Linked DNA regions of Pelodiscus sinensis. The main gene of each other region encodes a partner of the protein of the gene in region 4 in a complex. Links are inferred from orthologs where the notes say so. Each region holds a gene or a part of one and is shown on either strand. Other genes may lie near its edges.

What was found.
Region 1: SNRPE (region 4) and ARMC7 share a complex: the UniProt entries of both Homo sapiens proteins name them as parts of the minor spliceosome. The link is inferred for Pelodiscus sinensis from reciprocal best matches to the Homo sapiens genes SNRPE and ARMC7.
Region 2: SNRPE (region 4) and GPKOW share a complex: the UniProt entries of both Homo sapiens proteins name them as parts of the minor spliceosome. The link is inferred for Pelodiscus sinensis from reciprocal best matches to the Homo sapiens genes SNRPE and GPKOW.
Region 3: SNRPE (region 4) and DHX16 share a complex: the UniProt entries of both Homo sapiens proteins name them as parts of the minor spliceosome. The link is inferred for Pelodiscus sinensis from reciprocal best matches to the Homo sapiens genes SNRPE and DHX16.

Annotation. Positions count from the first base shown.
Region 1 is NC_134730.1:12,490,080-12,497,648, reverse strand, and holds the start of ARMC7 (armadillo repeat-containing protein 7), read left to right. Parts: upstream 1-4,550; 5' UTR 4,551-4,678; intron 4,679-5,875; 5' UTR 5,876-5,879; coding exon 5,880-5,970; intron 5,971-6,141; coding exon 6,142-6,285; intron 6,286-7,569. UniProt on the Homo sapiens protein: As a component of the minor spliceosome, involved in the splicing of U12-type introns in pre-mRNAs.
Region 2 is NW_027465877.1:101,395-108,906, reverse strand, and holds the start of GPKOW (G-patch domain and KOW motifs-containing protein), read right to left. Parts: upstream 3,020-7,512; 5' UTR 2,947-3,019; coding exon 2,801-2,946; intron 2,183-2,800; coding exon 2,034-2,182; intron 1,928-2,033; coding exon 1,788-1,927; intron 1,648-1,787; coding exon 1,541-1,647; intron 1,356-1,540; coding exon 1,163-1,355; intron 1,039-1,162; coding exon 906-1,038; intron 812-905; coding exon 679-811; intron 106-678; coding exon 1-105. Other genes in the region: membrane-associated guanylate kinase, WW and PDZ domain-containing protein 1-like, read left to right, coding at 6,612-6,676, 7,009-7,082, 7,251-7,512. UniProt on the Homo sapiens protein: RNA-binding protein involved in pre-mRNA splicing. As a component of the minor spliceosome, involved in the splicing of U12-type introns in pre-mRNAs.
Region 3 is NC_134742.1:11,515,135-11,522,187, forward strand, and holds the start of DHX16 (pre-mRNA-splicing factor ATP-dependent RNA helicase DHX16), read right to left. Parts: upstream 3,013-7,053; 5' UTR 2,678-3,012; coding exon 2,387-2,677; intron 1,040-2,386; exon of another isoform or gene 944-1,039; coding exon of another isoform or gene 911-943; intron 608-910; coding exon 366-607; intron 246-365; coding exon 83-245; intron 1-82. UniProt on the Homo sapiens protein: Required for pre-mRNA splicing as a component of the spliceosome. Contributes to pre-mRNA splicing after spliceosome formation and prior to the first transesterification reaction.
Region 4 is NC_134737.1:8,527,972-8,534,833, forward strand, and holds the start of SNRPE (small nuclear ribonucleoprotein E), read right to left. Parts: upstream 3,014-6,862; 5' UTR 2,885-3,013; coding exon 2,831-2,884; intron 2,075-2,830; coding exon 2,048-2,074; intron 1-2,047. UniProt on the Homo sapiens protein: Plays a role in pre-mRNA splicing as a core component of the spliceosomal U1, U2, U4 and U5 small nuclear ribonucleoproteins (snRNPs), the building blocks of the spliceosome.

The DNA.
Region 1 (7,569 bases), on a different chromosome or scaffold from region 4:
TGAAGCCGTACACAGGCAGCCTGGAGAGCAGTAAGGAGTAGTTCAACTACAGGCTGAGCAAATGCAGAAAAGTGACAGAATGTGGTTTTGAACATTTGAAGGAAACGTTTCACAATTTACTGACTGACAGCAAAAGCAACATTCCCATTGATGTAGCAACTTTCTGTGTAGTCCACAATATCTGTGAAAGTAAAGGGGGGACATTTTTCCGGTGGGATGGGAGGGTTGAGGCAGATCTCATTCCCCTGGTTTCTGGCTGTTCATAATTAAAGGTTAGGTGAATACATAAAGGAGCAGTGAGAATCATAGAGGCTTTGAAAGCTAGTTTTGTGAATGACAAGACAGCAACATGAGTCATGTATGTTGCTCTTAATAAGGTACCCACTGAATTAAGTGTTGGCCTGTAAACCATCCCCCCATGTCAAATTTAGCATTACTCCTCTTGCCAAAGAGGAGTTCAGAAATCATCTTTAACAGCCTTTAAAGTCAACAGAATGGGGTTGGTGTTTAGAAAATAGACCTAACATAGCTAAAAAAAAAATTAAGGAGATATACCTCTCATATAGAACTGGAAGGGACCTTGAAAAGTCATTGAGTCCAGTCCCCTGCCTTCACAGCAGGACCACATACCCTCCCTAGGTTCGACCTAAACTCATAGTGTAGACCAAGCCTAAACTTTTTCTATCAAAGCTGCCCCGATTTACACTGAATTGCTTTAAAAATTAGTTTAAAGAACTAATATAAACCTATGTAGGCATCTGTTTAAGACCGTTTTTATAAAATTTAGCTCACACCTGTAATTTTACAAGTAATACAAGTAAATACAATATAAATAAATAATACAGGTGTCAGCTAAACAGAAACAACCAGGTTTAAAATCATTTAACAGTGCTGACACCAGTGACACCAGTTCAAGTGAATTGGTTAGAATCACATCTATGTTTGATTTAAATGTATGCAGTGCAACTTTGTATTTAGATCAGGGCATTGTACTCTGGCACAGAGTTATCTTCTGTTCTTTGCTAGATGTTCCTCCCATTACTGGCTTCACTCCACTTTTCCTTTCATAAATAATTTGTCTTGATGTACATAAGCTGTTTAGTCTTTTCATTCTCTTTCCCTGCACTCTGCCCTATTCCTCTTTCCTTCCTTATTTCATTTTCTGTTCTCCAACATATCGGCTATGTCTACATTGGCACCCTTTTCCAGAAAAGGGATGCTAATGAGACAAGTCGGAATTGCAAATGCTGCGAGGGATTTAAATATCCCCCACGACATTTGCATGAACATGGCTGCCGCTTTTTTCCGGCTCGGGGCTTTGCTGGAGAAAAGCGCCAGTCTAGACGGGATCTTTCAGAAAATAAAGCCTTTTCCGGAAGATCCCTTATTCCTCTTAAAATCAGGAATAAGGGATCTTCCGGAAAAGGCTTTATTTTCCGAAAGATCCCGTCTAGACTGGCGCTTTTCTCCGGCAAAGCCCCGAGCCGGAAAAAAGCGGCAGCCATGTTCATGCAAATGCCGCGGGGGATATTTAAATCCCCCGCGGCATTTGCAATTCCGACTTGTCTCATTAGCATCCCTTTTCCGGAAAAGGGTGCCAACGTAGACACAGCCATCCTGTATGTTTTCTCTCTCTTTTCTCTTCCCAAGGTTCTCAGTCTCATGATATATTTAAAAACTTTATTCCTACACAGACTTTTACCCACTGCAGTGATAGGTATCCCATGTAATTTCTTTTAACATTGTTTTGCAAGTCAGCAAGTCTAATGATTTACATGTCAAAAGCAGAAACGCGGGTGGTGGGAACCCACAGCGGAGACTGAAGCAGTCGACTCTGATAGAGGCAGCAAAAGGGGTGGGGGGAAAGCAACTAGTCAAGTTGACTATCCGATAAACATTTGCTTATTGGATACTCGACTAGTCACTTACATCCCTACCCTGCACTCTAGTCCCCTTCCCTGGGTCACTACTGCCTTCTTCACCCAAACTCCCTCCCAGACTCCATTCTCCCTCATGCACCCCAATCCTTTACCCCAAGCTCCCTTCTGCACCCAACCTCCATCTTAGACCCCACATCTCCTCCATCAAGAACATGGAAGAGTGCAGCCCTCGACCACTTTCCAAAATTTTGGAGTGGTACCCCATCAAAAATTATTGCCCACCCCTGGAATAGGGGATATAAAAAAATATTATTATAAGCAGGTCTCGACAAATAATGTAATCTACTCGCCTATGGCGAGTAGATTACAACTCGGAAGAGCCGGCGCAGAGCGATCTGCGCATGCGCAGAACGGCATGGCTGGCGAGTGGGGCTTGCCACCACTTGGCAAGCCCTGATTATAAGGAAATACAAAAATAATGAGTGAAAGTCTTATTTGGGGATATTTAGGCCCTTCCTAGAGTGCAAAAAAAAAAATTCCTGCTTTAAAACACATTGTTTTTTATTACAGAAAGAGTTAAACAAATACCATAATGTGTATTTACATCTGTAATTTCAAGGGAGAGTGGTCCCTTCATATTTCAATCAACAATACAAAGCCTGCTGTGAATACCACACAAAGCAATAACAAATGGGATGCACTTAGGGATCAGTCATTTTATGCTTAAAATTAAGCTCTTCAATCACTCTTAAGGATGATTTATCAGACAAAAGCTGTAGCTAAAGTCTTATTTGGTAGTGTGCAACACTATCATGGCAGAAACAACAGATTACAAAAATCACTTTAGATAAGATATAAAATGTTACATCAGAGAGATCCAGATTTCTAGACACTTCTCACCTTAAGTGACAATAAACTCAGGTATATTGTCACCAGTCAATTATTTTAGCACTTATAGCACCATTCATCCATGGATCTCAAAATGCTTCATACAAGCGGGCAAGCACTGTTACCCCACTTTACAGCTAGGAAAGCTGAGGCACAGAGGGTGTTTCTTGATTAGGCAGCGTGGTCAAGTTCAGATCACGCTTGGTTAATACAAGTTAGCAAAACCTGACCTTCTTTCCCCTAGAATAGATGCAGGATACCATCTTCTAGGCCGCAATTTGATTAGCTAAATATGTCTAAACTAGGAAAAGGGTCTAATTTAAGTTAGGCTCGGCTAACATATTAGCTAAGTTCAATCTAAACTCAACTGCTTTTCCCAGTGAAGACAACCCCAGAGAAGCTGAATGACAGTGACTCGTCCAACATCACACAATGCAATTCACTGGCAGAGCTAGGACTTGAACTTATCCCAGACTGCCAGAGCCCTGATCTGACTAGTAGATCACAATACCAACACGGGGATTTCTGAAGCCATCACTCATGCATATCAAGCAAGTTGGGGGAGGAAACTCCAGCCAATATCCCTGCCAAGCCGATGGAAGCTTCACTCAGTCTGTGCGCACTGTGTGCCATGTGCAAGAGTTGTATATATTCTTCACTTCCCAACACAGCTCCCCATCCCTACTGAAGGGGTGAGCTGGGCTCCCTGGAGCCCTCTCAGCCTAGGAGGAAGCTTTCCTCTCTGCCAGCTCAGCCAGCTGCTTCTGGCGCCTCTGCAACACCTCTTGACGCATCTTCTCATGGTGCTCGTGCTCCCTGGCACGGAGCTCCTCCACCTCAGGGAAGAAGCGGTGCCTGAGACAGAGAAAGACAGTAACTGCAGTGCACTGAGCCCCCCTGAAACTTCCCAGTTCCTCTTACTCACCTGAGTCCCCCACCAAAGCCCTGCCAGCCATGTCCCCCAATGTTCCCCCAAGACCTTCTGGCCAGGTTCCCACAAGATCTTCCAACCAAGGGCCCCCAGAACCTCCCCCACCCAGATGAGCCCCCCCAAGGTCTGCCGGCCAAGGCCGCCAGGGTCCCCCCCCCAGATGAGCCCCCCAAGCTCTGCCGGCCAAGGCCCCCAGTGTCCCCCCACTCAGATGAGCCCCCCCAGCCAAAGTCCCCAGGGTCCCCCCCCAGATGAGCCCCCCCCAAGCTCTGCCGGCCAAGACCCCTAGTGTCCCCCCCCAGATGAGCCCCCCCAAGCTCTGCCGGCCAAGACCCCTAGTGTGTCCCCCCAGATGAGCCCCCCCAAGCTCTGCCAGCCAAGACCCCTAGTGTCCCCCCCAGATGAACCCCCCCAAGCTCTGCCGGCCAAGACCCCTAGTGTCCCCCCCCAGATGAGCCCCCCCAAGCTCTGCCGGCCAAGACCCCTAGTGTCCCCCCCAGATGAACCCCCCCAAGCTCTGCCGGCCAAGACCCCTAGTGTCCCCCCCCCAGATGAGCCCCCCAAGCTCTGCCGGCCAAGACCCCTAGTGTCCCCCCCCCAGATGAGCCCCCCAAGCTCTGCCGGCCAAGGCCTCCAGGGTCCCCCCCCAGCTGAGCCCTACCACCCAAAGCCCCCCCCACCTGTGCACGAAGGCGGCGGCCAGCGCACACAGGATGCTGCCGAAGAGGAGGGGCTTCGCCAGCCGCTTCCGCGCCGACATACGACCCATAGCGGGACACAAACAGGACCCCCCCCCCCGCCACCCTCCTCATACGTCACGTCCGGCCGCTCTCACCATTTCCGCTCTTCTTTCGAGTGGCCCCCCGACGTTCCGCCCCTCTCTCCCCGCGTGCGCAGGCGCGGGGAGGGGCTGGCGAGGCGCTGCGCGCGAGGCCAGAGGGAGGCTGGAGCGGCCCGGGACGGGACAGCGCTGGAGACGGTGCGAGCTTGGCGCTGGGTTGCAGAGCAGGGTCGCCCTGCAGCCCCGGGCGCGCGGTGCAGGGTGGCTACAGCTTGTGCTTTTCAGTGGGAGAGCTCGTGGTTTTGGTGCAGTTGTGGAATGGCTGGGTTTGGCAATAGTGCGCCGCGGCCCCTTGCAAGCCGCCCATTCACCAAAGGTGGCAATGATGGAAGCTACAGTGTAAAGTGAGCATTGGGGGTGCGTCTAGACTGACAAGCTTTTGCTGCAAAATCTTGCCAGCTGTCTACACTGGCCCCTTGAATTTGCACAAGAGCACGGACTTTGTAATGGATAAAATCAGTGCTTCTTGCACAAATTCTTCCACGCTCCTGCTCGGGAAAAAGCCCTCTTGTATAAGAATACTTGCGCAAGAGGAACAGTGTAGACAGGGAAGAACTGTTTTGCGCAAAAAAGCCCCGATGGCTAAAATGGCGATCGGGGCTTTCTTGCGCAAAATCACATCTTGAGTGGCCATGGATGCTTTTGCGCAAAAGCATCCTTGCCAAACTAGACGTGCTTTTGCGGAAATACTTTTAACGGAAAAGTTTTTCCGTTAAAAGTATTTCCGCAAAATCATGCCAGTCTAGACGTAGCCTGGGGGATTACCAGCGTAAAAGGGTTAAAAGACTACAGTAAAAACTCATGGCTAGCCTATGCTACAGGCTGTCCTAAGTCCAAGATACATTCCAAAAAACTAAACTTATAGCGAAACAACTTAAGCAATTCCTGGTGACTGACTTCCATTTGCACAAATTGGTTGTTGTTTTTTTGGGGAGGGGGAGGGTGCGTGACTTAAGAGCGGGGAATGGGAGGACTCTTAATGCATCAGTTCCTACAAGAGTCAATGACTTTAGTGTGGAACAGATATATGCTGGGGCGACTTATAGTGGAGACTGATGTAATGGAGCTGCAACAATGCTTGATGAAACATGGGACAATTGCCAATGATTCTCAGTGCAAATAAGATAAACCCAGTTGTAGTGAGCATGTTTCTGATTCAAACCTTGACAGGGCTGGTTATACTACCACTTTCAGTCCCCTCAGTGAATGTGAAGGGAGAGAAAAGAAAACCAATTGCCTAGTCTATACTTCTCAGAATGTTTTTATTAACCTTGCAGTGAAACTGAGGTCATACAGGACACTATTTTGAACAAAACTTAATTTTCCTCTCTTTAGCACCATGTCTCAAAAGCAGCAGGATCCACTGGACCTGGGGCGGCTTGAATACTTGCAAGCACTGGTCACAGAGTTCCAAGTAACAGAGTCTCCAGGTGAACTTATAAGCCTTTTTTTATTATTATTAAAGTATATTCCAAATGTCAGGATCATAGCTGGCTCATCAGTTATTGGGGGGGGGGGGGGAGAGAGGTTTTCTTCAGAAATGGGACAGCCCAGCCCACCTCAGCTGCCTCATTCTTCACCTAAATGCATATATATTGCAGAAGCCAAGGAGCAAGTACTGGCTAATCTAGCCAACTTCGCCTATGATCCCAAGAACTACGAATATCTCCGACAGCTTCAAGTCCTTGACCTGTTTCTCGATATGCTCACAGAGGACAATGAGACCCTCGTGGAGTTTGCAGTTGGTAAGGAGTAGCCTTAAAACTTTGTAAAATGAACAACAGTAGTTGAAAGCACTAGTTGGATTTTGATGGATCAGGGGATGTCAGCCTTGCTGCTTTGATTCTGTAGTCCAACTGAGCCAGTTGTAACTAGCTAATTGGGCGCCTAAGGCAAGACCGTCCTCAGCGAGGGCGGGGGTACTGATATGGCGCAAGGCATGAGCGAAGACCGCGTAGTAGCTGTCTTTTCTGTGCCGCCTCAGCCATGCACCCGAGGCAAGTGCCTCACTCACCTCGCCCTTGTTATGGCCCTGAATTGAACTTGGGGGAGAGGCTCAACTCCATGACAAACCATCTATGGCAGATGTTGCTCAAACTGCTTAATGCCCTCAGATACTACAGCGATGATAGGAGTATAAAAATCTATACAGAACAGCTGAAACAGGTGTGAGATCAGGATAGGAAAGCTTCCTAATTGTTAGGGTGGTTAAGCACTGGAATAAATTGCCTAGGGAGGGATCTCCCTCATTAGAGAGATTTAAGAGCAGTTGTGACAGACGTCTCTCAGGGATGATCTAGATCAGTATTTTCCCAATGGTGTTCCGCGGAACCCCGGGGTTCTGCAAAGTGAAAATAAGGGTTCCATGAGAAAATTCCATTACAATTATATTTTATGATTTAAAAAAAATTTAAGCATTTATGAATTTTATTGAAAACAATTTTCATTTGTGTTTGCCACGATAAGTGTCCTTGTGTAATGTCATTACGCTGTGCACACAGTCAGACAGTGGTGTGATCGCCTGTTATATACCACCGTAAATACCCATACTCACTCATTCTCAATGTGTTTTGTTTTTAAATATGTGCAATTAAACTAAATGTTGATCTCATGAACTTGTTTAGCATTTTTTTATTATCCTAACTTATTTGTGGTCTACTTTTTCAGCTCCATATATAAAAGATTGTTATTAGGGGTTCTGTAAAATTCTTTCGAGTTTAAAAGGGTACCATGGCCAAATAAAACTGGGAAACATTGATCTAGATGGTGCTTGCTCCTGCTAGGAAGACAGAGGGACTGGACTTGACCTCTCAAGGTCCCTTCCAGTTCTAGTATTCAATAGGACTTGAGGTGAATTATTTCATATTAAGGCAACATTCCCCTTCACTCTACTAACATGCTGCAGTGCTGAAAATTAAACTGTGTAAGATTAGATAAATCTCTAAATAGTGAAACACAAAGTGTAGCTTAATGAGAGTTTTTAACCCACGTCCTTATTGTAATGAGACAACTATTGAGAACAACTAAGA
Region 2 (7,512 bases), on a different chromosome or scaffold from region 4:
TAGAGCTTGTCCACGAAGCGAACCCGCAGGTCTCGCCGCAGCCAGTGGGGGGTGCGGGAGGACGATAAGCTGCTGCCTTTGCTCTGCTTCCCAGCCTGGGGGGCGCTGAGGAGAACAGGCAGTCAGGAGCAGTGCTGGGGGGGGCACCGTGCTGCGAGAAGCGGGGGGGGGGGGGGGGGGCTGGGGGCACCGTGCTTGGCGAAGGGGCACAGTGTTTCATCAAAGGCACTTGAGTTGCACTGGCACCAGGGTGTCCGGGCCACACGCCAGCTTGGGGAATCCTCCTCTGGGCCGTGAGACAGCACCCACCTCAGAGGTGGCCGCATTCCATGTGGCTGTTCCCCACCTGCCCTGCCCCAGAGGCGGCTGCATCTCGGCACCAAGCAAGCCGTGCCCAGGCAGTGTTCTACGTGGCTGTTCCCCACCTGCCCTGCCCCAGAGGCGGCTGCATCTCGGCACCAAGCAAGCCGTGCCCAGGCAGTGTTCTATGTGGCTGTTCCCCACCTGCCCTGCCCCAGAGGCGGCTGCATCTCGGCACCAAGCAAGCCGTGCCCAGGCAGTGTTCTATGTGGCTGTTCCCCACCTGCCCTGCCCCAGAGGTGGCTGCATCTCGGCACCAAGCAAGCCGTGCCCAGGCAGCATTATCCGTGGCTGTTCCCCACCGTCCCAGGTCTCTACCTCTCCGAGGCTGCCTGTTTCCGTTTTCTGTCCTTCTTTTCCCCTGTGTCCTGGGGGACCGTGGTGGCCAGAGCCTCAGTAGGCTCATTTCTCTGCTTTTCCTCTTTTTCCTTCTGGGCTTGGCTTAAGCGGCCTGTGAAGGGGATTGGAGAGAAAAGGGGAGTGAGGAGGGGACGGGGGAGGCGGGCGGCGGGGGGGGTGTGGCTGGGAGCAGTCATGTGACTCACTCAGATCCTTGGCTAGCTTCTCGTACTCCTTCTGGGTCACGGGCCGCAGGACGTGCTGACTGATGGTGACCGTTTTATCCCCGATGGCCAGTTTCACCATCACCCGGGCGTTATCGGGGTCTACGCCCTCGATCTGGGGACAGGGAGAGAAAAGAGAACGAGGGGTGAGCCTTCTGCTTCCAGGGGGCATCGGCTCCCACCCGGCCCCAGGGCAGGGACAGGCTGGCTCGGGGGCCAAGGAATGGGGGGGCACTCACCTTCCCATAGAGGTCTCTGTGGGGCCCAGCCATGATCAGCACAGCGCCCCCTGCCACCAGCCCCAGCGGCTCCTCCTCGCCCGGCTTGGGGGGCTGAGGGCGGCCAGCCGGCTGCAGGTCCTGGATGGCCGAGCGGTCAGCTCCCAGCCCCAGCCCCTTGGGGCGCAGCTGGCACTCCAGCGGCTTCACGTCCCTAAAGGGGGGAAGGGTTATTTGGGGACCCGCCTCTGAAAGCATATCACCCCCCCAGCTGCTGAGCTAGGACTCCTTCCCCCATCACCCTCCTCCAACCTACCAGCCCCTACAGTAACCTGGTCCACAGCCTTTCCAAAATCTCCCTGCCCCGCCCCCCATCCCTCTGCCCCCCAGGTCACTCACTGCTTGAAGGTGCGTCCGATGCCCTCGCCCGCTTTCCAGCCCATGCCCCGCAGCATGGCAACGCCATAGGCCTCCACCGGCACCACCTCATAATCCGCCTCCGTCGACTGCAGGGCAAGAAGGGCAGGAGAGTCGTTAACCTGCGGAACCACCCGCCACAGGCATTGGGACACGTAGCTCGGAGCCGCAAGAGGGGGCTGGCGCTGGGGCTCCAGGGGAAGCCGTGGGCTCGTCGGAGGGCTCTTACCGATTCCGGCCGCAGGCTCACGTCCACCCGGTCCCCATCCTCGTACCCCTCGGGGACGCGGTTCTGCATGAGCAGGGGGATGGCCAGCTTGGGGTCGGCCTTGGAGCCACTCTCCCACCGCTCCTGGGACTGCCGGCTCTCTGCAAAGCACAGGCACCGTCAGGAGCCGGACGCCGGGGTCCCCGCTCAGGGGGCGGGAACTAGTGTGTGCGGGGGGGGGACTCCTGGGGTCCCTGCCTCGCTCACCCTCGATCAGCTCCCTCACGGCCTGGGACTCCACCCCATCATCGGCCGGCGGGTCTGGGGCCCCCACGGGGGGCGTCGCCGGCTTCTTCCATTGGTTGCGCTGGATCAGGGGGATGACGAGCGGCTTGGAGGGCGGGACTGGCCGGAGGCTGAGAGCCAGAGAGAAACCATCCCGTTGCCGTGGGATACCCAGAGTGCACCACTCCCATTCCCCCCCCCTCCGCTACCCTGGCTCCGCCCACTGCCCCATCCCAAGGGCCTGCCCCACAGAGGCCCCACCCACTACCCTGAGCCTCTTCCTTCTCACCCACTGGATACAGACCCTGCCTCACACCAATCACCCATGGCCCCTCCCCAGGACACGCCCCCTCCAGCCCATATAGCCCCTCCCCGGACACGCCCCCTCCAACCCATGTAGCCCCTCCCCCGGACACGCCCCCTCCAGCCCATATAGCCCCTCCCCGGACACGCCCCCTCCAACCCATGTAGCCCCTCCCCCGGACACGCCCCCTCCAGCCCATATAGCCCCTCCCCCGGACACGCCCCCTCCAGCCCTATAGTCCCTCCCCCGGACACGCCCCCTCCAGCCCTATAGTCCCTCCCCCGGACACGCCCCCTCCAGCCCTATAGTCCCTCCCCCAGACACGCCCTCTCCAGCCCACATGGCCCCTCCCCCAGGCACCTGGTCGATCTTGCTCACGTGCGCAGGCCGAGCAGCCCCGCCCCCCCGGGGGGCGCTGACTCCCGCGCATGCGCACTGCTCTCACCTGCGCAGCTCGCTCCCCTCCACGGCGCTGATGAAATCGGGCTCCGGGTCGGCCCCGCCCTCCCCCGCGAGCCGCCTGCGCGCGACCGTGCGCGTGAATCCGAACGAGACCGGCCGCGGGGCCGGGGGGCCGCCGTCCGACGCCATCTTGCCGCCGCGCGCCGCGCAAGGCTTCACGGGAGTTGTAGTCACCGCCGCGCGCAAGGCCTCGCGGGAGCTGTAGTTCCAAGCTGGCCCGCCGGGCCTCATGGGGGTTATAGACCCGCCCCCACGCGTAGCATCATGGGGGATGTAGTGCGGGGCGGGGCTGCCCCCCCCACTCCCCTCCCCCACCCTCTGCCCCCACCCCGAGATCCCCCCACCGGGGAATTTTCTGCGTCCTTAAAACCCCCAAATCGTCTGGTTGCTGCCGCAGGGGAGCAGCCCCCCAGGCCCAGCAGCTGCCGTGACGTTCGGACGGGGGGGGTCGCTCCGTGCAGCGAGCATCTCTAAACGCAGCGCACAGCCAACCTGGGGAACTCCCTGCCGCAGGAGGGGTCACAAAGAGCTGGAGACATCCGGGCAGGGTGGGTCCATGGATGGCTGCAGGCCAGGCCGGGCGGGAGGGTGCCCCTGGCCTGTTTCTCCAAGGCTGGGAACAGGGGCTGCAGGGGAGGGATCACGGGACGGTTCCCAGTTGTGAGCCCTCCCTCTGGGGCCCCTGGCGCTGGCCGCTGTCGGCCGACAGGACACTGGGCTGGAGGGACCTTTGCTCTGACCCCGTCTGGCCGGTCTCCTGTTGATATTTGGGGGGGTCCTGAATCAGCCCCCTCCTCTTGGGGGTGGGAGATTAGTGACTCCTGGCACCCTGTGACCCCATGCCAGCTCCAGTGACTTTCAAGCTTGATGCTGAACAGATGTGCTTTGGTTAAGGCCTCTAACCCCCTCCCCCGAGCTAGGGAGAGAACCCAGGAGTCCTGGTTCCCAGCCCACCCTGCTCCTTAGCCCTGTACCTTGTGTGGCCTGGGGAAGAGCCGGGTTTCTACCAGGCCTCGCTTTAGGGGCTGGCGAATGAACGCCTCCCCCATGCCCATGCACTCTCCTTAACGAAGGCTGTATCGAGAAATGACTCTGCTTATTCATTACTAGCCGCCCCGGGGCTGGATTGGAACCGGCACCCCCTGGAGGGGTCAGGCCCCGTGTTCCATATCCCAGGGGGAGATTAGCCACTGTGGTCTCCGATTGGCTGGCTCGTCTGTCCATCTTCCCCTTCTCCCCCTCCCCCAGAGTCTAGCGAAGGAGGAGGAGGTGGAGGGTTACCGGGGCATCAATCCCGTTGCCTTGGAGATCCCCGTTGCTAACCCCAGCAGCATCGGGTACCACTACGGAAGGGGGGGGCCGGAGCAGCGCTAGATGCCGGGGCCACCCCAAGGTAAGGGAGCCCCCCCCAGCCAGCAGAGACGGGGCGGGATCAGCTGTTAATTGGATTGTGCTGGCTGCCGGAGCCGGGGGATGGCGTGGGGAGGGGGGGCGTCCTGAGGGCCTAGGAGGGGAGATCAGCGCTGGCGAGGGGCGGGTGGGGAGCCTAGAGGTTGATTTTGTGATGGACAAGGGGCTGGGGGAGGAACCCGACAGCTCTGGGGGTGGCCTTGGGACAGGCTGGAAGGGGCAGCGGCACGTTCAGCTCCTCCTGGGAGGGCTCTGGCGTGTGGGAAGTAAAGCCCCCTCCCCCCACCAGCTACTCCCCCTCCCCGCTCATGTGACCTTGAGGAGCGACACAGGCACAGGGCGGGCCGGGCCTGGCCCCTCCCGATCTCACCATTCCCTGGGTGCCAGAGTCCCCCAAAAGCCCCATTTCCCAGCTGTGCCAGCCAGGCTTTCCTGCGGGGGGCGGGGGGAGGGCGGATGGTTGCGGGGGGGAGGGGGAGGCTCTCATCTTGCTCGGCCCCTCGGTCGCTTTGGGTCCAACAAACCTGGTTCTCCCTTCCCCCATCCAGGCAGTGAGATGACACCCCTACCCCATGCCTCCTGCGGCGGCCGGGGAGCGGACGGACACCTCTTCCCCGGGTGAAGCCCAGAGGGAAACTGAGGCACGCGGCAATGGAGCCAAGCGATGACGGCCACGGTCCTCTCCCTCCCGGCCCCTTTTGCTGGCCTGCTCGCCACACACCCATGGGAGAGGGGGGGAACCGACCTTTTCCCGGCCTCACGTGTTCCTCAAAATATGCCATGTTGCTTGCGGACTAGAAACAGAGGGCAGGTGCACCCCAGTTCCCCTCCTCCCCCCAGCAGCAACTGGGTAACGTCACCGGCCTCGCAGAGCCTGGGAGGCACCCCCCCCACATCACCCCACCCCTACCTGGAAGAGTCCAAGGCGGTGACATTTCTAGATTACCCCCCAGCACAATGGGTTCTAGATCACCCAGGTGCCCGTTGGGTTCTTGAGGGAGGGAGGCTTTTCTAGATACCCAGCGGCTCCTAGAACAGGGCTTTTCCCAGATCCCTAGTGGCTTCTGGAATACCAATGGCTTTTCTAGAGCCCCCCCCCTTGCAGGTTCTTGAGTGGCAGAGGCCTTTCCAAACCCTCCATGGGCTCTAGAATGGCCGAGAGCATCCCAGGTCTCCAGTGGGGCCTAGATCAAAGGAATTTGCTGAGATCCCTGGTGGGTTCTAGAGCAGCAGAGGTTTTTCTGGATCCCACCTGGGTTCTTGAACAATAGAGTTCCTTCCAGATTCCCTCTGAGACCGTTTTCCTGGCCCCTGGCCCTTCCTCTCGCTCCAGAAGCTGCAGCCGTCCCTTCATGACTCAGTTGGCCCCCCGCCTGGTTGCCCCAGGGGTTCCCCTTCTGCGGCGGGGGAGTTTGTGCATCTGTCAGCCTCTCTTCTGCCTGTTGCCCTGCCCATAGCAGTACCCCCTGCCACGGTGGGTCTGTCCCCCACATCTCCCCACCTTACTGCTCCCTCCCCGGACCCGTTCCTGCCAGGCTCCTTCTCCCTCCCCTCGGGCAAGGGGGCTACCCCCACTTCCTGCTTTCGCAGAACCTGCCCCCTGCCCCGGGTCCATCACAGCCGAGCCTCCTAATCAGCCCCCCAGTTGGCTGATGGAGTTCATCCAGCGCTCCCGGGGCCAGTGTGGGGAGGATGGCCAGTCACCAGGGGCGCTGGGGCCCAGAGCCATGTCCTAGACCCCCAGCGCGATGGAGACCAGCCCTGGCTCCCCAAGGGGTTCTAGAGAGACCTGGGCAGCGCCAGATCTCAGTCACTGCCTGCGCCCCCGGAGCGAGCTCTCCTGTAGGTTCCAGAGTGGGTGGGCGGGCGAGATCCCTTCTAGAGCCCAGCGAGTTCTGGAGCCAAGGGAGCCAGCCCTCGGGCCCACAGCTGGGCTGATCCAAGAGAGGGGGTGGGAGCCCGGGCAGAGGGAGGAGTGATTCCCCCCAGGCCGGTGTTGTGGGGCACGGCCGCCCTCCGGGCCCCAAGTGCCTCTCCGCCACCCTCGTGACTCTAGGCAGGCAGGAGAGAAGAGGCGCACGTGGGGCGGAGGGGCCGGGCAGGGGGCTTTGGTGGGCAGTCAGGCCTGGGCACTGGGGTCCCATGCTTGGGGGGCAGAGCAGGGCCGGGCAGGGCGCTGGGCAGTGCCATGCTGCAGGCCGGTTCCATGTGGCTGTTACCTTCCTGCCCCACCCCAGACATGGCTGCATCGGGGGAGGTTTGAACTCTCCTGTTCTCTCCCCTCACAGGGCTGAGGCAGGCCGCACTCAGGGGTCTCGGGATCCACTCCTCAGCAAGCAGAACCCCCCACTTGGGGTCCCAGGGGCGAGGCCCCCGGCTGCACCATGGGCGGGGCTGGGCCCCAACTCCAGCACTGGGGGGCGGAGCAAAGCGAAGCCTGTGGCATCAGGTGACTCCCCCCCCCTTGGATTGGAGGGACTGGCACTTCTGGGGGGCTGAGGAGGTGGGATGCTCAGGGATGAGCTGGGGCTAAGGGGCTGCCTTTGGTTGGGGAGGTACCGGGGAGCAATTGGGGGGATCCAGGAGGTGGGGGCTCTGGGGGAAAGGGGGAGACTATGGGGGGGAGGGGAAGTATCCTAGGAGGAGAGCCTAGGGGGGAGGGGGATATAGGGGAGAGATCCCAGGGGAAGGGGGGAACATGGGGGATCCTAGGGGGGAGAAAGCTGCCCGAGAAAGGGACCTCCCCCCAAATATGCACCCCGCCTATTCTCCGTCCCCCAGCTGCAGTGCCCACCAGAGCCCCCACAGGGCCCCTGAACCCCTGATCCCGGCAGCAGTGGCACCGGCGGCTGGAGGTAAGCGGGGGGCACTGGGGGCACCCCCCTCCCCACCCCCTGCCAACCGGAGGGCTCTGCCACCTGCCCTGGGTGCCCGGGAGGTGCTGGGGGCGCCACGCTCGGCCCTGCCGCCCCTGCCCCGGGCACTGGGGGGGCCCCCTTAACTCTGCCCTCTGTGCCCCGCAGTGAACGTGGTGGTGGTGGTGGACGGGAGCTGCATCCTGCACTACACCCACCGGGACGCCCCCTGCCGCTGCTCCTGCCGGCTTCCTGCCTCGCCCAGCCCCCCCCTCGCCCGCCGCCCCCGGGGCCTGGGGGTGCGCTGCTGTGCAGAGCTCTGCCTAGGGGAGGAGGAGGAGCGGGCGGAGCAGAGGCCCCGCCCTGCCCCACCGCCCGGCCGGCTGACGCCAGTGCCCCTGCCCCGCAGCGCCACGGGGCCCTGGTTCAC
Region 3 (7,053 bases), on a different chromosome or scaffold from region 4:
GAGGTGTGGGGTGGCACCAAGGAGGGATCCAGCAGCAAGGATAGGGTTGGGGATGGGTGCTGGTCGCAGGGCAGGCTCTGACCTTCTTGTCCGACCGCTCCAGGATATTCCTGGTCCGCTCCTTGTCCTTGCGCTTGACCCGTTCGGCAAAGGCGTCGCGCTCCTCCAGGTCCTGCAGGCGTTCCCGCTCGCTGCGGTCCCATTCGTCCTCCGAGTCCTTTCCCTCCAGGGCCGGGGCCGGCTCCCTGCATCCGGGGAAGGGCCAGAGACCACAGTCAGGGCACTAGCCAGCCCCGGGGAGCCCCAGCGCAGGGGACTCTCCCTCGCCCCACCCTCTAAGATCCCCCAGCGGAGGCGACACTCACGGCTCCCGCTCTGCCTCGTTCTCCTCCTCTGACGCCTCCTCCTGCTTCCGGCGCAGGTGTTTGCGCCGCTTCTTGTGTTTTCTCCCCTCGGGGCAGTGCTTAGAGCCTGGGGCCCCCCCCGCATCTCTCTCCTCCTCCTCGCTGTCCTCCAGCAGCTGGTACGAGCGGTTCTTCTGCTGCAGGGCGAGGGCCTCCCGCTCGGCCACCCGGGCCGGACGCTCCTGCGGAGCTGAACGTGGGACCTAAGAGCAGGGCAGAGACAGGGGTGGGGTTAGAAATACTGCACAGACAGTGCTCGCTCCCTGCCCCCCCCCTTCTGCTTTCTCCTTTAGCTCCTCCCACTTAGCACACAGGTCCCGCCTCTACAGTTGGCTCCTCCCCCTCCCCAAAGGCTCCTCCCATTCTGCTAAGCTTTCTCCTTCCCATGTAGTTCCTGCCATGGTAACCTCTCCCTAAATCCTCCTCCCCTGCCTCCCCCCCCCAACCTCCACAGGACACTGCTAGGGCTAGCCCTGCCCCATCCCCTATAGGCCTCGCCCGCTAACCTCACAGGACTCCCCCCTTGGCGCCTTCTCCATCCCTACTGCTCCTGCTCCCTTTGTTCACAGGCCCTTCCCTTTCAGCCCCACTCCCTCTCCTGCCCCCCAGCATGTCTCCTCCTCTCCCCAGGCCCTTAGCCCCTTGCCTGACACTCCGCCCTCTGGCCCTACTCAGCCCCTCCAGTGTGACCCCTCCTCATCCCTACTAGCTCCTCCCCCTCCTGTGTGACCCTCCCCACCCCACTGGCCCCTTCCCCTCCAGTGACCCCCCCCAGCCCCACTAGCCCCTCCCCCTCCTATGTGACCCCCCCCGCCCCCTGGCCCCTCCCCCTCCAGTGACCCCTCCCTCCTGTGTGACCCCCCTTCAGCCCCACTAGCCCCTCCCCCTCCTGTGTGACCCCCACTAGCCCCACCCCCTCCTGTGTGACCCCCCTCAGCCCCACTAGCCCCTCCCCCTCCTGTGACCCCCCCTCAGCCCCACTAGCCCCTCCCCCTCCTGTGTGACCCCCCCTTAGCCCCACTAGCCCCTCCCCCTCCTGTGTGACCCCCCTCAGCCCCACTAGCCCCTCCCCCTCCTGTGTGACCCCCACCCCCTCCTGTGTGACCCCCCTCAGCCCCACTAGCCCCTCCCCCTCCTGTGTGACCCCCACTAGCCCCACCCCCTCCTGTGTGACCCCCACTAGCCCCTCCCCCTCCTGTGTGACCCCCACTAGCCCCTCCCCCTCCTGTGTGACCCCCTCAGCCCCACTAGCCCCTCCCCCTCCTGTGTGACCCCCCACTAGCCCCACCCCCTCCTGTGTGACCCCCCCTTAGCCCCACTAGCCCCTCCCCCTCCTGTGTGACCCCCACTAGCCCCACCCCCTCCTGTGTGACCCCCCTTAGCCCCACTAGCCCCTCCCCCTCCTGTGTGACCCCCACTAGCCCCTCCCCCTCCTGTGTGACCCCCCCTCAGCCCCACTAGCCCCTCCCCCTCCTGTGTGACCCCCCCTCAGCCCCACTAGCCCCTCCCCCTCCAGTGTGACCCCCCTTCAGCCCCACTAGCCCCTCCCCCTCCTGTGTGACCCCCACTAGCCCCTCCCCCTCCTGTGTGACCCCCCCTCAGCCCCACTAGCCCCTCCCCCTCCAGTGTGACCCCCCCTCAGCCCCACTAGCCCCTCCCCCTCCTGTGTGACCCCCCCTCAGCCCCACTAGCCCCTCCCCCTCCAGTGTGACCCCCCTTCAGCCCCACTAGCCCCTCCCCCTCCTGTGTGACCCCCACTAGCCCCTCCCCCTCCTGTGTGACCCCCCCTCAGCCCCACTAGCCCCTCCCCCTCCAGTGTGACCCCCCCTCAGCCCCACTAGCCCCTCCCCCTCCTGTGACCCCCCTCCCCCACTAGCCCCTCCCCCTCCAGTGTGACCCCCTCAGCCCAATGGCCCCTCCCCCACTGTGGCCCCGCCCCTCCGTTCTAATGGCCCCGCCCCCCGCGGTGTGGCCCCGCCCACCTGCTCCCAGAGGCGCCGGGCGAAGGCGCGCACGGCCGGCTCGCTCACGCGCAGCGTCTCGGTCTCCTCCAGGCGGCTCAGCAGCTCGTCGGCACTGCGGCTGCGCCGGGCCAGGCCGAGCAGGAACGCGACCACGTGCCGCTCGCTCAGCCCCAGCAGCGCGTGCAGCTCGCCCGACACCCAGCGCTCCAGCGCCGCCATCCTGCCCCCGCTTCGGACCCCCCCGTGGGCCACCGTACCCCGCTTCCGGGCCACGTGACCGCCCGGGCCAACGGCTTCCGCCATCGTCATAGCGCGCCGGCGTAACGCCCTGTACCGTAATGACCGGTCTATGAGCGGCGTCAGACTTCAACAACCCACGCTCGCCCCCGCCTTCGCCCGCTACCGTAATGAACGGAATATCCACCGCGAGCAAAACTCTCTGGTCGTAAGGACAGGGATACGCGCCTCCACTTTTGCGGGCGACTTCTTACCGTAGTGTCTGGAATATGAGCGGCCCCGCCTCCAGCCAGACTTTTTACCGTAATTAAAGCAATAAGCGCCTCTCCAGCTGGCTCTTTACCGTAATGACAGGAATAGGAGTCTCTCCATCTCCAGCCGGCGTTCTTACCGTAATTATAACAATATGAGCCTCCCCTTCTGCAGGCCCCTCTACCGTAATGACAGGAATAGGAGTCTCTCCATCTCCAGCCGGCGTTCTTACCGTAATTATAACAATATGAGCCTCCCCTTCTGCAGGCCCCTCTACCATAATGACAGGAATAGGAGTTCTTACCGTAATTATAACAATATGAGCCTCCCCTTCTGCAGGCCCCTCTACCGTAATGACAGGAATAGGAGTTCTTACCGTAATTATAACAATATGAGCCTCCCCTTCTGCCTCTACCGTAATGACGGGAGTAGGAGTTCTTACCGTAATTATAACAATATGAGCCTCCCCTTCTGCAGGCCCCTCTACCGTAATGACAGGAATAGGAGTTCTTACCGTAATTATAACAATATGAGCCTCCCCTTCTGCAGGCCCCTCTACCGTAATGACAGGAATAGGAGTTCTTACCGTAATTATAACAATATGAGCCTCCCCTTCTGCAGGCCCCTCTACCGTAATGACGGGAGTAGGAGTTTTCCATCTCCAGCCGGGCTTCTTACCATAAATATAGCAATATGAGCCTCTCCATCTCAGCGGACACCTTACCGTAATTGTGAGAAAATTAGTTGCCCCTTCTCCGGCCACATAGCCTACCGTAATTACAGGATTACGAGCCTCCCCTTCTCCAGCTGACTCTGTAATTCTGCACCTTCTCCAAACAGATCCCTTAAGATAGCAATATGAGTCTCTCCTTCTCGGGCCGGGCCCCTTTTACCGTAATTACAGGATTGCTCATCATACAGCCAGACTGGCTTCCATAATGACCATAACATGAGCCTCCCCTCCATCCAACCAGACATGCTACCCTAATGGCATCCCGCCACACACCTATCCATTTACCGTACTTACAGGAGTTCATGCCCCCTCCAGTTTTCACCTCATGCTGTCATTATGGATATACACACACCCCACGCTGGGGTGGGATTTTTACTGTAAGAATATAAGAACGGCCAGGCTGGGTCAGACCAAAGGTCCATCTAGCCCAGTGTCCTGTCTGCCGACAGTGGCTAATGCCAGGTGCCCCAGGGGGGAGTGAACAGAACAGGGAATCGTCAAGTGATCCCTTCTCTGTCACCCATTCCCAGCTTCTGGCAAACAGGCTCAGGACACCACCCCTGCCCATCCTGGCTAATAGCCATTGATGGACCAATTCCCCATGAATCGATCCAGTTCAGTTACCATCCTACCAGCTGCAGGCAGAAGCACAGCCCAGTCCGGCTGATCCTCACAGGAGTTTGGTGGGGAGGCAGCACATGGAGAAGTCAGGTTCTTTACTGTACGTGCAGGTGTAATCCACACATTAGGAATGTGCCATTATCAGCGATCTTGTGTAATGTTGGCCTGCACCGTAATTACTGTAATACAAGCTGCAGAACCAATTCAGGTCTGTACCATAATTAACCATGCATGGGCTCTAACATGGATCTGAACTGCAATTAATAGAGGACAGGATACATCCAGAACGGGCTCTGCACCAGTGTAGTGGTCACTGTGTGGGTCCTCCCTTCCAAGTCAATCCTCTACCATAATTACTAGTGTACAAGCCTCAAATACTATTGGGACCTGTACCATAATGACCCATGCACAAGCTGCCCCCTCAGCTCGGCCCTTCACCATTACTGCTCACGTCTGAGCCACAGCTCCAGTCTGTGCACCCTATAACCTGCACATGAGCAGCTACCATGGTCCTGCTCCTCGTTTTTATTGGTATAGGAGCTGCAGTTGTCCTCATGCTCACTGTCATGATAGCTATCTGGCTGTCCCTTCTCTAACCCCAACTTCCCTTGCACAAGCCAATGTTTTCACACTTAGGAGCTGCTGCCCTAATTTGGTTCCTTTCTGTAACTAGCTGCGTGTCTGCCCATCAGATTTTTACCATAGTTAACTGGGTATGAGTCAGTTTCCGGCCTCTCTCTTTTAGCACCGTTACAAACCTATTCAGCTGCCTCCCCAGTTCACAGGTTCTGTATTTACTAGCATTTGAGTCAACTTCCCGACTACGTTTTTTATCATATTTACAGACAAATCAGCGTCCCATCTGATTGTTTACCTTATTTCCAGGCATGAGTCAACTCTGCTTCTAGACCCATGAGTCACATTTTTCAGTAGGCACATTACCGTATGTCCCAGCAGACAACCTCCGCTGGCTTCCTGCCATATTGACCAGAGTCTGAGTTGCCTTCAAAAGTAGGATCATCATCGTTTTTACAGAGCCAGCTCTTATCTGTATTTCCAGGCATATGAGTTGACTTCCTCCACGTAATGTCATTGTCTCTAGCTTAACGGCATCATGCAGCAAAGCTTCATTCTCATTGTAGTCCTGTCTCAAGCACTGTTCTTCTATGGGGGGGGGGGGGAGCTGCAAAGCAGCGTTCCCTATAAGCTGGGCACTTGGGTGGCCACCCAAGAGCGAGTCAAATGCCGCCCAGAATAGCAGAGTGCCCTCAGCCGGCAGCATGTGTTTCTACTGGTGGTGCACATCTGCACATGCCTTGGTGCATAGAACAAAATTTACTCCGCACAGGGCTGGAAAAAAAATCAAGGGCGCATTGATGCAGAGGCAGCTGAAGGTTGCCTGGACATGTGGGATTTTCTCCTTCTGACACACTAGCAGGGATTTCAGCCTCGGTGGGGCTGCAGCAACGTAGTGCGGAGCTCGGAGGCTGGGGCAACGTGGGCTAGGAGGCAGTGCAGCACCCACGCCACCAGGGGGCAGGAAAGAGCCACGGTCTTCCCCAGTGTGGAGGTCTGAGTGTTGGGGGTGAGCGGGAGAGGCGGGAATGGGGGATCCCGCCTTGTCAATGCCTCACCACTAGGGGGCGGGAGAGAGTGAATGGGGGCTCAGGTGCCTACAGGGCAGAGCTGCAACCCCCAGGGGGCGCACAGGATCTGGCAGGGCAAACCCTCATCTCCAAGGGGTACATGGGAGCCAGGTCCCGGCAGCATCCACCCCTCACCCTCAAGGGGTACATGGGAGCTAGGTCCTGACAGCACCCATCCTCCCCTCCTGTGGCATCTGGGAGCGAGGTCCCGGTAGCACCCCCCCCCCGTTCACAGAATCATAGAACTGGAAGGGACCTCGAGAGGTTATCGAGTCCAGTCCCCCGCCCTCACAGCAGGATCTAGATCACCTCCAAAAGGTATAGGGGCACCAGGTCCTGATGGCTCCCACACCCCTCCCAGACCACGTGGGCCACAGATGATAGGGAGGCGGCTTCACGTGCAACATCTCTCCGTTTTATTATTATTATAACACATATAAAAAAACGCTATTGGAACTGGCCGGCTGCGGCACCCTCCCCCCGCCAGGGCACAGACGCCTCCTGCTGAGAGGGTTAAACAGGAGGGGGGGTTATTGCCCCTGGACGTCTCGCCCCCGTGACCACAGGGCTGCTCTGGGCGGGGGGAGGAGCGTGCCGCATTTGTTCGTTCACTCGCCCCCTCGTTCCTGGGCGAGGACGCGACTGCTTCCCCCAGTGCAAAGGAAAAAAAATAGTCATAACGAGAATGAACTAAACTCACGGAGGAGGGGCTCATTCATCCATCCATCCAGGCCCGCCCCCACTCACTCCGTGCCCTCCCCACACACTGAATTCCCCATTCCCTCCACGCTCACGCTCGTCCCCACACACTCATCCAAGTCCACAGTCACATGGCACAACCTCCTCCCGCCCCCATGAAAGGAGGTGAAATTGCTCCACCTAAAGAGGAAGTGGGATGGCTAAAACAGGAAGTCACCCCTTTGGCCCGCCCTCTGCCTCCATCACTTCGTCGTCCCCCACCTCCAGTCTCCTCCCCAAATCCTGGCTGGCTCTGGCTCCCACCCTCGAACCACATACTGCCCCGTTCCCCCCCAACACAACTAGGCTTGCCTCAAGTATACAAAAATGGCCCCACCTGTAACTAGCTCCAGCCTACTTACAAATGGCCCTCCCACCCCTGCAAAATAGCAATTTGCCCCACCCTCCAAATACTGACTGGCTCCGCCTCCGTCTCAAGTGGCTCCGCCCCAGTCGTA
Region 4 (6,862 bases):
GTTGAGCAAAAAAAAGCGCCCCCCCTCCCCCCCAAAAAAACCATGGCACCTTTAAATTTCACACTCCCTTCCACATGGCAGGGGAAGAATGTCCCAAGTGGCTTTCCAGCTGAGAAACTGAAAATACCAGACATTTTACTGGGGGGGGGGGGGGGGGGGGGGGGGGGGGGGCGGGGCAAAGCCAGGAGTTTGGATTGTGCCTCAGGGCAGGGGATTGGGGTGCAGGGTCTGGGAGGAGAGTCTGGGTGAAGATATCAGAGTGGGAGTAGCTGGGGGACCGGACACTTACCAGCGAGACACGCTGCTCTCCTGTTTCTCCCACAGGACCTTCCTGGCCATGTGCTTGGGGATTGGTAGGTTCCCGCAGCTGCCATTGTCCATATCCGGACAATGGGCTTGTGCGGGGGGGGGGGGGGGGGAAGCAGCCATGAGGGACCCTCCCCTGCCGGCTCACAGCTCCTGCTCCACAAAGGGCCCCGCTACGACTGTTTTGCATGGGGCGGGGGGAAGAACCCGACGAGCGTGGGGCTTGCTCTGGATACTGAAGCGCCTACGCGGGCTGCCTGTTGCAGTGGGTGCAGGGCTCAAGCCTCCAAAGCGCCATGTCGGGCTCCCTCGTGGGTCTCAGGCTGCCGATCCTGCTCTAAAAGCAGGGGTGAATGTGAGCAGTTTTAAAACGCTGGCGCAGGCACACGTAAATGCCACCGTGGGCGCCATGACGTCCGCGGGCACCCTGTTGGGGACCACGGCTCTAAACCTACATCAGAAGTTAACATGTAACTCAGTGGGCTATCACAAGGTAGCTTTTAGGGACCAAATTAATACTGACCTGACATACGTTAGGACACTACAGTAATTTTTCTACCCAAGGCTTATCAGAAAATAGGTCAATCTAGAGAGAAATGCATTTTCTTCTGATAGATTTGGGTACAAGGTCCAAATCATGGAATCTGCTATTTCACCTTAATGAGAGCACTGACAGCCTAGTAAGCAAAAGCTCTTTGCTCCATCCACAAAGCAGCATAACACCAAAAAATACAACCAGTGATAATGACAAACTAAATCTTCAGCAGTTTAAGGGGGCTCTGGGAATTGCTCAAGTTGCAAACTAGATACAAGTCAAAAGTTGTTTACTTCATGCAGATGTAAAAAACCTCAAAAGATGCAAAACCCTTGCATCCTGATCAGATTCTAATACAAATCATTTAACTCAGCGCAGAAAAGAATATTTCTATTTTTTTACTTGATAGTGGAAAACATCTCCCCAGCCCTTATGGTGGTATAGCACACTGGTGTGTAGGAACTTATTTTTCCAGATAGGTATGACATGGCCAACTTTCAACACAATACAGCAGGATTTATGGCTTTAACAGTTAACACATTCATTCATTATAATCATTCAGTGTTTGTTCCCCACCACAAACACACACACACTATTATGCCATGTGCCAATAATCTTCATCTTCTATTTAGCTGGGTTACAACGTCACCAAATTACACACAGTTGCTTCAACAGTCTCTGGAAAAAATATCTATCTTAAGAAACTACGGCAATGACTGTCACAGAAACACTTAAGGGCTAATATGTTAAATATTATCAGTATAATTGTTAGCTAGAAATGGAAGAAAATGATCACTTCATGAATCAGAGAGCAATGCTTGTATAAAGAAGCCTACAGTAGACAAATATAAACCAAACAGCATAAAAAATGCTATACGCTATCGCTTCCAAATAAAAGCTAAATATTACAGAAACCTCACAGTGTTGGAAAAAGCAAGTTTAATTTACATTTTTTCCTGACTGCAATTTCTCCACACATCAGCACTACTGGGTTAATGTCATGTGGAGAGGCCACTAATCTCAAAAGAGGTCAACAGCAAATGCTACAAATCTGCTTGGAAATCTGATGCACTTCCCCCATCCCAAAAAGATGATGCATCAGATACAAACCTCAGTGGCACCATAGTGGCTAAATACATGCTTTGGGTCATATTTACAATCAGACAATGAACAGGCATGCAATGAGAATTAGACAGTATGACTTACGTTCTGCAGGTATCTGAAGATGAGGTTCTGTAATACAGCACTTAAGGAAAAGCACAGAAGCAGCACCGACTGCAACATGGGTCACTGTAACAACTAATCTGGTTATCGCCAAAGCTTCCATTTTAAAAGTGCTTTACTTTTAGGCAAATAAAAATTAACAATTTCTGGAGGCGGGGGGGCGATGCCGAGTTGGCATTTAACCCACCTGTCCCCCTTCTATCCTGTTCTACCCTTCCCAGTGCTCCCTAAGGCCAGAGGTGACAGAACGACCTCTAGGGATAAATCCCTGCAGCTCGCCAGCAGCCAGCGAAACCTACAGGCGCCTTCCAGCCGGGAGTTAAACCCAACAGCGCCGGGGATGGGCTCTGAGACCCGGGAAGTGCCCCCCCCCCCCCCCGCCGCACACCCAGGGCCTATCCCCGGCGCGTGCTGAGAGGAGACCTCGATTCCCAGCACGTGATACTGGGTGAGGGGCTGGGAGCTGCATGGCAGCCCCCCCCCCGGCTCCAGCGCCCAGCCCCCCCCCCCCCGGCTCCAGCGCCCAGCCCCGCTGCGAGCACCCTGCTCATCGCCTCATTCTCCCCCCTCGTCTCGCCCCCCCCCCCCGGGCCAGCCCGCTCAACCCCCCCCCCCACCGGGCTCCTCAGACCCCTCATTCTCCCCCGGAAGCCCCCCCCACTCATCTCGCCCCCCCCCCCCGCACCAGCCCGCTCAACCCCCCCCCCTCAGGCTCCCGGCCCCCCCCGACTCCGCCAGCCCGGCCCCGCCCCCGCGGCAGGATACGATGGGCTGCACCATCACCTTCTGCACCTTCTGGCCCTGCCCGCGATACGCCATGGCCGCGAGCGCGCCTCAGCCACCCGGCAGGAGAGAGAGAGAGACGAGGAGAAACCGTTACCCGCCGCGGCCCCCACGCGCCCGCCGCAGCAGCTGCCCGGCTTCCGCTCCAGACCGGAAGCGCGGCTGCCCCCGCGGAACGCCGGGAAGCTTCCCCGGCCGCTCTGGCACGCTGGGAGGACTGCCGTCCCGCCTCTACTGCTCCCGCCTCTCTCTGTCTCTTGTCCCACTGCGGGCGAGGCCCCCAGCCTGGAGCTGCGGCTGCGCAGAGCAGGCCAGGCAGGGGTGCCAGACAGAGAAGCCACGTGCTGAAGGCGGCTGGTTGCAGGAATAACTCATGCCATGCCCCCCCCCCCCACCCTGAGAGTAAATGTTCTGCAATAGACACACACCGGCCTTGGACTAGACTAAGACACTGGAGGATGCTTGCAGGGCCTGCACCTAGAGCCCCGCTGCAGCATTGGTACCGCAGACACCAGGCCCCGCTGCCTTCGATCCGGGGTGCGGATACCCCCCGGGATCTGCGCATTTGCAGGGTTCTAGATACAAAGACTGTCCCCCGCACCCATCGGCCAAAAATTAGTCGCAGAGATCTGCAGATTTGCAACGCTCAGCATAGTGACCCTATGGCCCCCAAAATCCGGGACTGTCCCAAGTTTTAATGTTTTTTCCAGGTGTCCCGACACCCCCCAGATTTGTCCCGGAAAAAAGTCCCTCTCTGCTTCTTTTCCTCCCTCCTAGCCCTCCCTAAGGAGGAGTCAGGGATGCTTCTGGGACTTCCCTGTGAATGAGGATCCAGCCAATAGAAGAAGCAGGAGGTTGTGCCCGTAGGAGCCTGGGAAGCCGAGTAAGTGGCTGGGCTGCCAGCTGGGACAGACAAGGGGAGGAAAGGGGGGAAGCAGTGCGGTGAAGAGCATCTCTGCTGGGGGTGTGTGAAGAAGAGCACCCCCCATGGCCCGGTGGAAGGGGAGGGGCAGAGAGCAGCACCCCACCTCATGGCTGGGCTTGGCTAGACGGGGCCAAATGGTGGAAAAACAATTGGAAAAAGCTACTCAAATTGTGGCGTGCAATTTGCATAGCTTTTTCAGAAAAAAACCCTGATAGGCCCAAATCCACTCCTGCGTCCACCGTTCCTCCTGCACCCTCCTCCTTCACCACACACTGTCCTCTCCCCCTAGCCAGATACTCTACTCCCAGCCTGTTGCGGCACCCTACCTGCCACCCACACCTTGCAACCTCTCCCTCTTCTTCCCCCCACCTCTCTCCCAGATCCTGCACCCCATCGCTATCCCATTCTCTGGTGGCCCTGTCTCACATACTGAACCCCTGATTTTTGTTCCCAACCCAGAAACTAAGGGGGCTCCATAAAATCTTCCAGAAAAGTTGGGGCTGGAACGCTGGAGGAATGTGGTGTCTCAGTTGGGGGTCACGTTGGTGAGGGTTCGGGGTTTTTGAAGTTCTTTTGCTTCTCATGTCTGTGGTCCCCAACTGACTTTTCTGTGGCTCAATGGCCCCTCACCCAAAAAATGTTCCCCATGCCGGCCATAAATAATCTAAACTTAAAAAACAACAAATGGTCTGATAGCACTTCAGCTTGAGAATAAAGGACTGAGGAGAGTGAGGTGTGGGAGAATAAAACTGAGCTCTGGGGAAATGTTTGGTTAGAGTTTCCCCTACAATATGTACCAGTTCCGACTTACATACAAATTCAACTTAAGAACAAACCTACAGTCCCTATCTTGTACGTAACCCAGGGACTGCCTGTAGTTAACAGTGAGATTCCATTAGCAACTGGTGGTCTATGGAAAGGTTTACATTGGCCATTGGACCCCCTGGCTCAACAAGGTTGAAAATGACTGAAATAGAGGTACCCCTGGCCTCTCTCCCGAGAGACATCCCCAGTCTCCCTGTTGCTCCAGAAGAGCCCCCAGAGAGATTGGGTCTGTTACCACAGTGGTGAAATCAGTCACTCAGGTGTGGATGATGGACAGACTTTTTGTGAGTTTTCCTCATCCAAGCAGTTAATGATTTAAACCATGTGTTAATATGCCAGGTGAAAATACTTGGTGCCTCCATAGAGGGACAAGTTGGACGTTAGGAAAAAGTTCCTAACTGTCAGGGTGGTGAAACACTGGGATAAATTTCCTAGGGAGGTTGTGGAATCTCCATCTCTGCAGATATTTAAGAGTAGGCTAGATAAATGTCTAACAGGGATGGTCTAGATAGTACGTGGTCCTGCCATGAGGGCAGGGGACTGGACTCGATGACCTCTCGAGGTCCCTTCCAGTCCTAGTATTCTATGATCTCTCTCCAGAGAGGTTGTGTCATGGTGAACAAGCCCTTTGTGAGCTCTGTGAAGAGGTGAGATGTTTTGACTTCCAGCTTCAAAGGAATTTGTTCTGTCTTTGGGCTACACATTGCCTAGACTTCAATGGAGCTAGCTGAGAACGCATTTCTTAGTTATTCTGACACAAAGTGAAACCTGTGCTAAAGACCCCATGTCTAGTGAGAGAAAGTGCTGCTGTCTGAAGTAAATTCAAAGTTTCTCCAAATTTCTTCAGTTTGCCTCTACCAGGCAGTGGGGCTTTGACTGATTGGTCCCTTATATTTTTGAAGGATGACTAAATATTACCCAGATCTTCTTAGGTAATATCAACAGATTGCTTTGGGCCCAATCCTAGCTTAAAATTAAATTGGATCAGGCGCTTTGTAAGCAGGTTGGGAAGTGGTCTCATTTGGCAATTATTATTAGCTATTATTTACGTAATATAGGCATTGCCATCATGGTATTGGCATAGACATTTCTCAGTAGCTTTACATATAAAATAGCCTAGCCCCATTGATATAATGGGCAATGTACCTTTCAAGCAGAGGTAATGAGGATTCATGACATAGTCTTCCCCACCCTGTAATTGTCATGGTTCGGTATTGTCATTCTGGCTTGTGGAAATGGAGGACACTTCATAATTTTGCAGTTACTTCAAAAAATGCGGTTGCAGTCCATTTCATTAGGGATGTAAATTCCCATTCATCAGTTAACCGGTTAATGTTAGGTCACAGTGGGGCTGCCGCTGGTTCCCAGCCCCTTCTGGAGCAGCCCTTGTCTATAGCAAGCTGGACTCCCCATGGAGAGAGGTGCAGTCCATGCCTTTGGGGCCCCCGAGTTCTCCAGAGACAATGGCTGATTTGGATGAGCGTAACCCCTATCTGCAGCAGGCCCTCTATGAGCCTGGAGCAGCCCCCTTCCTAGCTCCAGCCCCCTCTGATTACCAGTTAATTGGAGCCAGTAGGAAACATCCATTAAGAGGACTATGGAAATTGTCCCATGAAATTGTGGGATAGTTCTGGATGATTCCCAGGTTCTGAGTCAAATGGGGCTGCATCTACACTGCAAAGTAATAGGTCTTATTGGATCTCATCTTGAATCGAGGTTAGACCCCTAGCACTGCACTATCATGGGACCCTAGGTCTATGCAATTGCAGTATAGTTGCATGGGAGACTTCTATGGGGCCCAAATAGATCCCTCTAGGTAGAGAATGGTGGGAGGAGTGCTTTAGAGGGGTCACATGACACCCTTTACTTCCAGTGATATATTCATCTTGACCCTGGAAATACTATCCCAGGGGTGGGATTTCCTGTGGCAGGTAGGTAGGGCCTAAGGGGTCAGGGGCCCCGCTAATGGTTTCAGGGGGTGTGGCCAAGGTGTCCCTATTTTTGATTCAGAAAATATGGTCACTGTTAAATTCCACTCACTTCACCCTACATCCTCTCCCGGACAACCGTGCAATGGATAACATGGATGTTCAGATCAAGATGAACATTTGCATGGTAGGCACAAAAAGGATGCCTGCCTTGCTATCCTTTTGTTCCTCTCCTTTAAAGTAGATTTGTCCCCAGTTCTAGGAGGCCATACATATATGTCATTACTGCAGTTTGTCAAGTGTATGCTGGAATAATACAACCACTCTCACTCTCAG